3 linked regions of the Macaca fascicularis genome follow. The protein of the gene in region 2 interacts with the protein of the main gene of each other region in a pairwise test. Links are inferred from orthologs where the notes say so. Each region holds a gene or a part of one and is shown on either strand. Other genes may lie near its edges.

Region 1 (3,650 bases), on a different chromosome or scaffold from region 2:
ACCCCTGAGCGGTAAGCAACTTGCATTAGGAGAAGGTAGTTCATGCGCACTGATCTCATCCCAAGCATGGCTCCTCACCTCCCCTCATTGGATCCTTGGCCACCAACTTCAGGTATCAATCCTTGGGGGTCTAAGCTGGGGGATGCCCTCTCCCTTCCAGGCTCTGGAGGCTGTGAACAGGCGGCTGCGGGAGCTGTACCCCGATAGTGAGGACGTCTTCGACATTGTCCTCATGACCAACAACCATGCTCAAGTGGGTGTCCGCCTCATCAACAGTATCAACCACTATGGTGAGCATGAGCATGAGGATGGGGGGTTTGCCCTGGGACACCCCTACCAGACCCCCAGGGATGGGGCCACACCTCTGCAGGATGGAGTTGTACTGACCGGAACCCCAAGCCCAGTGTGTGCTGGTCAATTCGCTGTTTAAACAAACAAACAAAGAAAACCCTGATTTGTAGTGTTGCTAGTTTTCAGGGTGTAAATATTTCCACCAGGACTGGTTTCAAGCTATCAGTGGTTGAACAATACAAATGGCTCACAAAATTTCTGAGTGTTTACCTGTGGGCTCTTGCAAGCCTGTCCAAGTCAGCTCCAGCACACCCCACTCTCAGTGTGATTAGGTGGGACACTTACTGCCTCCCTGCCTCAGTTTCTCTAACTGTGATGGGGCTAACAGGTCTCACAAGGCTGCTGGGAGAATCAGGTGCAGCTGTCAGAGCGAAAGGGCTTTGCGTCTTAGTCTAAACTCAAGGTTAAAAATAATAGACCCTCCAGAGCTAGCTTAAGCCCAGGAGAATTTCTTATTAGGTTACAGGGGTGTCTTTCAGAGGACAGGAAATAAAATTGGGCCTACAAAGGCCTGAATCCAAGTACTGGAAATATCTCCCAGGATCTTCTTTTCTTCAGGCCACATGAACATTTATTTGTGCTTCTCTAGCAAGTTTGCTCTTTTTTTTTTTTTTTCCTCTCTCCCCTGAAATTGGATTTCTCTGCTTTTCCTAAATAAAAACCATATTCAAGAAAACCAGGCCAGGCGCGGTGGCTCATTCCTGTAATCCCAGCACTTTGGGAGGCCAGGGCAGGTGGAACACTTGAGGTCAGGAGGTCAAGACCAGCTTGGCTAATATGGTAAAATCCTGTCTCTACTAAAAACACAAAAATTAGCCTGGCGTGGTGGTGCACACCTGTAATCCCAGCTACTCAGGAGGCTGAGCCATGAGAATCACTGGAGAGGAGAGGAGAGGAGAGGAGAGGGGAGGAGAGGGGAGGGGAGATCCACTTTAGGGAGAGAGAGAGAGACAGAAAAATAATACACCTGATGGGGCTCGGTGACTCGCGCCTGTAATCCCAGCACTTTGGGAGGCCGAGGTGTGCAGATCACGAAGTCAGGAGATCGCGACCATCCTGGCTAACAGGGTGAAACCCTGTCCCTACTAAAAATACAAAAAAATTAGCCGGGCGCGGTGGTGGGCACCTGTAGCCCCAGTTACTCGAGAGGCTGAGGCAGGAGAATGGTGTGAACCCGGGAGGCAGAGCTTGCAGTGAGCCGAGATCACGCCACTGCACTCCAGCCTGGGCGACAGAGAGAGACTCTGTTAAAAAAAAAAAAAAAAAAAAAAAAGAATACACCTATATTTATAGGTTTACAAGGCCTGGTTTTTAGCAACCAAAAAAGTCTAGTAGGCATTTTTAAATCCTAATTTCAAATTGCTGGGAGCAGGATTGATATTAAAAATGTTTAACCACCTGTGTGACATCCACACTGCGTAATCAGGACAGACCCTCCCTATAGTGCTGAAGCAGGGCTCTGAAGGACCCCTGCCATACCAGGCATTACCACCTTCTGTTGTGGACTCTGGGGAGGACAGAGGTCCTGGGTAAGGGGCTGCGAGAGTGACGGGTAACTTAAATGGGCTCAGAGCAGCAGCCGGTTTATCAACCAACAAATACTTTACAACCTTTGCAGTGATGAGGACCAGTGGACTGGCAGCCTAGGTAATCAGATTGGCTCAGCTTGGGTCAGGTGTCTGCTCTTATCCAATCAGCTATGACCAGGAGGCGGGGTCACACAAGCATGTAGCACTGTGATTCCTTGACAAGAGAATGTCCCTGTGAGCTGGGCAATTGCTCTAGAGATGTGATTGTCCGCACTTCACGAAGGATGGAGGGGCTCAGAGGGGAACACTGGCCTAAAAATCACACAGAGCCACTCTGTGCTGCCGTACCACACCCAGAACTAGGATGGCGTCCACTGGACACAGAGAGACTGCCCGGAAGCCCAGGGTTGACCCTGGCCTCATCTGGGTCCTTTACCTCCTTCCCAGACCTGTTTATCGAGAGGTTCTGCATGACAGGTGGGAACAGCCCCATCTGCTATCTCAAGGCCTATCACACCAACCTCTACTTGTCAGCCGATGCGGAAAAAGTGCGAGAAGCCATTGATGAAGGTAAGTCTAAGTGAGGAGGGAGAATATGGGGAGTGCAGCAAAGGGGTCCCTGAGGTGGAAGGCCTGGTCCTAAAGTTCTGAGCAGGTGCTGGGAGTTGCCATGGTAACTAGAAGGCAAGGCTACACAATACTTTCCTTAATTCTTATAATCTGTCCTATAAGTTCTGAAAGTAAGGCCCTACCCATTCCATCTTCCTACTTCTGGCCCTACTGTGTCATGAATGCTTTTACTACTCAGCATCACCCAGCTTTCTGTTTCCATGGAAACCCTCTCTACAGCCCAGACAGCTACTTTCTTCCATGATTTCTCCAAGTCAGAAGGAGTTCTGATTCCTGTAGAACCAAAGGCAGCCTCTGCCCTGTCCTGGGCCAATGGGGAGGAGGATTCGTATCTAGTCCAGCCTGAATGGTAGGATCTGGGGAATGGCCATCATCTCCAGCAGCTGGGCTGGCCAGTGCTTAGGGGAGTTTAGGAGACCCAGATGCAAGTACTGACAAAGAGAATGTCCCTCTATGTGTGTCTTCTTTATTTTTTTTATTTTTTTATTTTTATTTTTTTATTTTTGAGACGGAATCTCACTCTGTCTCCCAGGCTGGTGCAGTGGCGTGATCTCGGCTCACTGCAAGCTCTGCCTCCTGGGTTCACGCCATTCTCCCCCTTCAGCCTCTGAGTAGCTGGGACTATAGGCGCCCGCCACCATGTCTGGCTAATTTTTTGTGTTTTTAGTAGAGACGGGGTTCCACCATGTTAGCCAGGATAGTATGTGTCTTTCCAGGGGCAGTTTTGGGTGGTATCCATATTCTCAGTCCTCCCAACGAGGTGCGTATCCTATTGCAGGTGGGAGAAAACAGGCCCATACAGGAGAAAGGACTGGCCAGCTGCCTGAGAGGGCTCGTTAAGCTGAACACTAGTGGCAAGTTTCTTTATCAACCAACAATATATTCAGTTTTCTCTTCCTCTTTCATGTTGCCTGCTGCCTGGAAGCCTGGTCTCTCTCCCCCGATAACTCACTCCCCTGAGCTGCTTTGGAGCTCCTAGAGGCTTTCTTTAACCAGGAACCAGGAGCCATTTTCCTAGACAGATGTCATACCCTCTGGTTGGGGCCTTGGCACTGGCATGTAGGTGTGCCTCTGTGTGTTCGTAACTTGACCTCAGGCTAAGGAGCAAGATAATGGTCCACGGGGAGGCCCTGCTGAGGG
Region 2 (3,750 bases):
TATTTTTAGTAGAGACGGAGTTTCACCATTTTGGCCAGGCTGGTCTCGAACTCCTGACCTCGTGATCCACCCGCCTCGGCCTTACCAAGTGCTGGGATTAAAGGCCTGAGCCACGGCGCCCGGCCCTAAATACTATTTTAACAATATGGTGTCTTTTCTTCCAGACTGCCAGTAAATGAACAAACACATGATTAACACAAAAAGGATACCATATGGACTCTTTAAACTTTTTTTTTCAAATTTACTATATCAGGAAATTAATATATCTTTTCGAGCCAATAGATATAGGTCTTCCAATTTAAAAGATTAAGTTACAATAGAGTGAGATTTGGGGTGCTATCCCTTTCGGAAAGCGTCCTCGATGCGGTCATATTGGAATTAACCTCCACTCCCCTCCTCTTCTCTGGGCTCCCGCGGACTCCAGGCTGAGTGCTGAAGTGTGGATTTTCACACCCAAACCTCTGTTATTTCAGTGTCTCACCTGGCTTCTCCACAGCGCAGAAGCTCAGCCCCAAGTTGGAAGAGCCTCCCCGGGAGATTCACAGCGAAGCGCTATTCAGGGCCCAACTCCAAGCCCAAACCTAGCTCCACCCTAAGCCGCCGCCAAAGACCCCTCTTCTCCCAAACCTCACCGGGGCCCCGCCCCTGACTCCGCCCACGAGAGCCCAAGCCTCCAGTCCTGCCCCACCCCGGGCTCCACCCACCAGCCGGGCTCCGCCTACCCGGAAGCACGCAGTCCTCCTCGTCCCGGGCTCCGCCCACCGGGAGCTCTCGCCGCTCACCCCACCCCGGACCCGCCCACTTCGCTTGGGCTCCACCTTCCCAGGAACTGGCGCCGCTTGCCCGAGCTCTGCCCATTTCGTCCCGGGCTTCCCGCGCTGAGAACTCGTGCTGCGAGCCCCGCCCACCGCGCTCCTGGCCCCACCGCCCGGAAACTGTCCCGGCCGCCCCGGGCTCCTCCCACCCCGCCCTGAGAGCCCGCGCGGGCCGCTACACGCCCGCCCTTTCCTACGTGTGGTCCAGTCGGTCTTCCTCCGGCGTCGGCGCTGGCCGAGCTAGCTGGCCATGGAGGGTAATGGCCCCACTGCCGTCCACTACCAGCCGGCCAGTCCCCCGCGGGACGCCTGTGTCTACAGCAGCTGCTACTGGTGAGGGGGCGCGGGCGCAGCCTCTGGGTCTCCCAGGCTCCCGGGCCGCGAGTTGCAACCAGGCCCCGCCTCTTCCCGGCCCCTGCTCGGGGGCGCTCCCGGCCTCTACCGGCGGGTTCTACAGTTCTGCGGGAGTAGGGAGCGGGAATGGCAGCTCTTGTCTCTTGAGTAGAGCGTGGGCTGTTGGATGGGGTTGGGAATTCGTCCGGAATCCTAGGGTCGATAGTGCATTACCTGTGCCTGGCGCTTGTCGGTTGGATTTGCTCAGCAGATCTCTGCTTCGGGGCTAGGAAGGGTGGAGCTCTGAAAACCTTTGGAAGTTACTCTGCTGAAGCATGTGGGGTTTCAGACTGAGGCGAAGGTCATTTTAATTTTGGAAGAGAATGGAAGCACAGAGAGTTTGGGATAACTTCCCAAGGTCACCCAGCTAATAGCAGCCAGGAATCCAGTTCGGGCTCTCTGGCACCAGAAACCATGATCTTAACCATGTTGTCATTATAATAATGGTTACATTCACACAGCACTTGCTATATGCCACGCGTTGTTCTGGGTGGTTTAGGTAAACTAAATCACTGAGTATCACAATAACCCTAAGAGGTAGGTATTGTTATCCCCAGTTTAAAGATGAGAGCACTGAAGCACAGAGGGCTGCAAGTAATTTGCGCAGGGCCACATCACTTGTGAATGAAGGAGTGGGGATTTACAGGCAGAGTCTGGCCCCGGAGTCCATGCTCTGCACCCCTGTCCTAGGCCACCTCTGCAGCTGAAGCACCGCCCCTGCCTTGGTCCTTTTTCATTCCCATGCCTACTCTTTCCTGAGTAATGGTTTCTCCCCCAGCTTCTAGTCCTTGCACAGGAACCCTCAGTGCTATCTAAAACTACCCTTCCCCCTTCTGCTTGTCACTAAATCAATGCCACCGAGCATTTGTTCGGCCCTGATTGCATGTCAGGCTCAGTGGCAGGTGCTTCCATCGATGTCCATGAGTAGCTTCTTTTACTATCGTTATCCTCATTTTACTAATAAAAAGAGTGAGCCACAGAGAGGCTGTTGTGTGCCCCCAAATCACACATCTAGCAAGTGGTGGTGCTGAAACTGGAACATCTTCGTGATTTTGAAGTTCATGCATCTTAACTGCTGCACTCTTTTTCTGTCCTGCCTCTTCTAAATCCCGTTAGTTCTCCTCCCTAATGTCCATTGTTTTATTCATTCATTCAATAAATGTGTATTAGGCACTTGGAGTATGTGGCCCACTTCTGGGCACTGGAGATACAGCAGTGAACAAGATCGACAAATTCACTCATGGATCCCTTGGTTCTTGTGTTTTGATGAGAGAAAAGCAGATAAGGTCCGGTGCGATGGCTCACGCCTGTAATTCCAGCACTTTGGGAGGCTGAGGTGGGCGGATCACTTGAGGCCAGGAGTTTGAGACCAGGCTGGCCAACATGCAGAAAGGCTGCCTCTACTAAAAATACAAAAATTAGCCAGGTGTGGTGGCACACGCCTGTAATCCCAGCTACTCGGGAAGCTGAGGCAGGAGAATCGCTTGAACCCGGGAGGAGGAGATTCCTGTGAGCCGATGCCACTGCACTCCAGCCTGGGAAACAGAGCGAGATTCCATCTCAAAAAAAAAGGCAGACAAAAACAAGTAAACCATGTTTGGGTGGTGTTAAGTGCTGTGAGAAAAATAAGATAAAGGATGGTGGCTTATTTTCTATTAGGATATTTTGAGAAGACATTGTTGATAAGGTGATATTTGAACAGAGATCTGAAAAAAGAGGGTGAGAGCTTTGCATCTATTGGAGGATGGTCATTTAAGCAGGGAGAACAGCAGGTACAAAGGCTCTGAGAAGGAATTGTGCTGTATGATAGAAACAGTGAGGAGACTGGTACAATTGGAGTATCAGAGTTAGAGCAGTCTTGTAGAAGAATGGTAAGAGTTGACCACTCTACCGCAGGATTTCTCCGCCTAGGTTCGAGTTGACATTTTGAGCATGATAATTCTTTGCTATGGGGGCTGTCCTGTGTATTGCAGGACATGTAGCAGCGTCCCTGGCCTCTACCCACTAGATGCTGTTAGCACCCTAGCTCTAGTTGTGACAACCAAAAATGTCTCCAGACATTGCTAAGTGTCCTGTAGGGCTTGGGGGGCAAAATCGCCTTTTGCTGAGAAACAGTGCTCTACCCTGTCTGAACATGTCAGGTGGGGGCACTGCACTACTTTGGCTCCTGCAGCTTTGTGGGGTTTTTTTATTTTTGAGACGGAGTCTCAGTCTATCACCCAGGCTGGAGTGCAGTGGTGCCATCTCGGCTCACTGCAACCTCTGCCTCCCAGGCTCAAGCCATTCTCCTGCCTCAGCCTCCCGAGTAGCTGGGACTACAGGCACCCACCACCATGCCCGGCTCATTTTTGTATTTTTAGTAGAGATGAGGTTTCACCACAGTGGCCGGGCTGGTCTCAAACTCCTGACCTCAGGTGATCCACCCGCCTCGGCCTCCCAAAGTTCTGGGATTACAGGCATGAGTCACCATGCCTGGCCATCCTGCAGGTTTTTAAACTTGAAATGAGTGCCTCCTGTCTACTTCTGTTAGCTTCTGTCATGT
Region 3 (3,193 bases), on a different chromosome or scaffold from region 2:
ACAGTCTATTTTCTGTTTGGAAAAAAAAATTCAATACTAAAATCTTATAGTAACAAAAAGCTTTTTTTTTTTTAAATCAAACAAAGTACATAAAATAAAGGTGGGCACAACGCTAAGTGATCACCAACCAGGGGATGTTTGGGATTTTTAGATGCATTAAAAGGGAGTATAGAGAATATCCACCAGCAAATAAGATTGTATTTTTTTGCAACCCTATGATTTTCAAATGGCTCCTAAACACAGTCTTTGGTCAGGATAAGGGATTCTGCAGGCCTAGCCTTACCGTTCACATCAAATATAGGTGGAGGGATGCCATATTCTCCACATTTGGAGCTCTGTCAGGCTGCTCCCTTTCCACCAGTCCTATCCAGTGATACTGCACACACAGGGTGAGGCAACAGGAGACATCATACTGATGTTGATCAGGAAAGGAAGAAGGTGCAATCTTACTTCCAGGATTTCACATTTGGAAGAATGCCTTGGGAGTGGTGGGTAGCCCAAAGCTCTTCCCAGGAAAAGAAGCAGGCACAGGGCCCAGGACTCAGGCTCCATTTTGACCCAACGTTTATTGTCCTTTTACAACATGTCATTTTTTGGTTTAGAAACTGCTTGTGATTAGTTTTCCAACATTAACTCAAAAGCATGTAAAATAAATCAACCTACTCTCTATATAAACACCCAGCAACTGTGGCCCCTACTCACCTACCCAGGTTGGATAGGGGGAAGGGAGGGCTCGGGCAGCATTGAGTCAAGTGCAGATGCTTTACTGTGGCAGGTGGCAGTAGTGCCTTGGTTCACACCCCACACAGGTCCCCTGCACTGCCCCAAACTACAACAGAAATGGCATAGGCCCAAGGCCCAATTCCCTGTTGGTAATTCACTCTCCACCTACCAAATGAAAATCGCTTTTATTTTTTCGCTTTTGTTTTGTATTTTTGCAACAGAAACCCCCTGTCCAGAGTCAGACTGTAGCTGAACTGTTCAGACTGAAGAATGGAGCAGGCTGTGGGCGCACCCCTGGTCCCTCTCCTGGGCAAGCGCCCCCACCCCCAGGGAACAAGGTCCGGGCAGGCCAGCTCACTGCATGCTGGCCACCACCACTTAGCCATACAGGTCATCGTCATTGTCTTCTGTGTATACACTGCCACCTGTGCCGCCTCCACTGCCCTGACTGGGGCCAGCTCCACCCTGGTTCCCTGAAGGGAATCTGTGTACGAGAGCAAAGCCAAAAAAGACGGTTAGGACAGAGCCTGTGTAAGATTTCCACAACTACCCCTCTAGCTTCCTTAGGACTCCCATTCCCTTTTTGGTGTAGGTCCCCAAAGTAACTTAAGCACTGTCTAAGGCTCCCAACCAAGTTACCTGAAGCTGCCAAAGCCCCGACTCTGCTGAAGGGTCTGGGCGAACATCTCGTACTTCCGAATGTCATTGTCACTGACAGAACGGCGCGCAAAGCGCATGGCTTCTTCAAAGTGATCTCGACGGATCTCAGGCACTGGATCATCCTCTTCTACCTCCTATAGTTGGTAAACACAGATCACTAGGGCTTAATACTTTAAAATGCCAATAGTTTTCAGTGTTTACCACATTTGGATTACATCCTACCCAGTGGTCTCGCTTTCAGTGACATATATACTCTAAAATATACTCAGGGTTTCCCAATGATTGCAATCCTACTACTAGAGCACATTATTTGGGCTGCTTATTCCCTTTATTCAAATTATACTCTCTTCACAGCCCAGCTCAAAACCTATCTCTTCCATTGAGAGGCCAATTGCTGTGACTTATGAGACTGCTTCCTAGGATTAGTTCATAAGTAGTTTTAAGCTTTTATGGGTGAGAGAAGGTCACAGACCCTTCAAAACAGAAAGAAAGCCATTTATTTGCTCATTCATTAAGTCCCATGTTTGGAACTTAATGAATTAATTAAGGGTAACACAGGACATAGTGGAAAACAAGTGAGATGACAGAGATCCTACCTTTATGGAGCTTACACACACATGAATTTGTCTTTTCATTTTGGGAGGACTGTGGACCCCATCCCTTCCCCAACCATCAGGGACAGGTATATGGGTCTCATCTCAGTTCAAAACCTTGCTCTGCAGCTCACGCCTGTAATCCCAGCACTTTGAAAGCCCAAGGCGGGCGGATCACAAGGTCAGAAGATCGAGACCATCCTGGCTAACACGGTGAAACCCCGTCTCTACTAAAAAAAAATACAAAAAACTAGCCGGGCGTGGTGGCATGCACCTGTAGTCCCAGCTACTCGGGAGGCTGAGGCAGGAGAATGGCTTGCACCTGGGAGGCGGAGGTTGCAGTGAGCCGAGATCGCGCCACTGCACTTCGGTCTGGGCAACAGAGCAAGACTTCGTCTCAAAAAAAACAAAAACAAGAACAAAAACCTTGCTCTGTTTGGTGCACTCTCATACTTTGATTTCCCTCATGGAGCTTGGTTTAGACTGAGAATGGAGCCTGCCCATCTCTTCTCGGCCTTATTCCAAATTGAATGGATTCACCTCAGTATTCTTTATCTTTGATGCCCTATTAACATTCTTCTCAGATGATCTTTTCAACAACTTCTACTCTCAACTCTAGGGCATGGTGGTGGCTGCTGCCTGGCTCCCCATGACTGGCACATCTGGGGAAAGGATACAGACTCACCATGGCTGATGGGTTTGTCTGCCTCTCTCGTTCTCGCCTAATCTCACTTTCGATGGATTCACGGATGGCCAGCTTGCAAGCACGCTGGCAAATCTCTGTAAGGTCAGCTCCAGAGAAGCCATTAGTCATTTTAGCCAGGAACTCCAAGTCCACATCCTAAAAGAAGCAGCAGAGCTACCTTAGCATTTAGCCTCTTCTCTCTTGAGATACACAGATCTTTGGGCCATCCAAGCACTCCCAACTAGTTTGCCCCTTCTTTGGCCACCCCATTTTATTCCTGATTCTAGATTATCTTAATACCCTCAAAAATTCTACCTTCCCTTTAGACCAACCCTAACCCCAAAGCAATCTTGTCCAGAACCCAAAGAGCACTCTATACCAGACTGAGGACTCATAGAAGTCTCCCACAGCCCATGATCCTGCACCTGCCTTGGCAACTGGGGACTTGCGCAGGTTAGCCTTGAGGATGGCAACACGTGACTTCTCATCAGGAAGTGGGATGTAGATGAGCTGATCAAGACGGCCAGGTCTG

Evidence for each region. The genes of interacting proteins can lie anywhere in the genome.
Region 1: the proteins of NTAQ1 (region 2) and NT5C1A interact in binary tests that used the Homo sapiens proteins (3 or more experiments, as listed by UniProt). The two-hybrid records come from large-scale screens. The link is inferred for Macaca fascicularis from reciprocal best matches to the Homo sapiens genes NTAQ1 and NT5C1A.
Region 3: the proteins of NTAQ1 (region 2) and VCP interact in binary tests that used the Homo sapiens proteins (3 or more experiments, as listed by UniProt). The two-hybrid records come from large-scale screens. The link is inferred for Macaca fascicularis from reciprocal best matches to the Homo sapiens genes NTAQ1 and VCP.

What each region holds. Positions count from the first base shown.
Region 1 is NC_088375.1:195,235,467-195,239,116, forward strand, and holds part of NT5C1A (cytosolic 5'-nucleotidase 1A), read left to right. Parts: intron 1-160; coding exon 161-290; intron 291-2,327; coding exon 2,328-2,450; intron 2,451-3,650.
Region 2 is NC_088382.1:133,061,526-133,065,275, forward strand, and holds the start of NTAQ1 (protein N-terminal glutamine amidohydrolase), read left to right. Parts: upstream 1-1,021; 5' UTR 1,022-1,065; coding exon 1,066-1,148; intron 1,149-3,750. UniProt on the Homo sapiens protein: Mediates the side-chain deamidation of N-terminal glutamine residues to glutamate, an important step in N-end rule pathway of protein degradation.
Region 3 is NC_088389.1:64,373,365-64,376,557, reverse strand, and holds the end of VCP (transitional endoplasmic reticulum ATPase), read right to left. Parts: coding exon 3,091-3,193; intron 2,818-3,090; coding exon 2,662-2,817; intron 1,518-2,661; coding exon 1,363-1,517; intron 1,208-1,362; coding exon 1,102-1,207; 3' UTR 548-1,101; downstream 1-547. UniProt on the Homo sapiens protein: Necessary for the fragmentation of Golgi stacks during mitosis and for their reassembly after mitosis. Involved in the formation of the transitional endoplasmic reticulum (tER).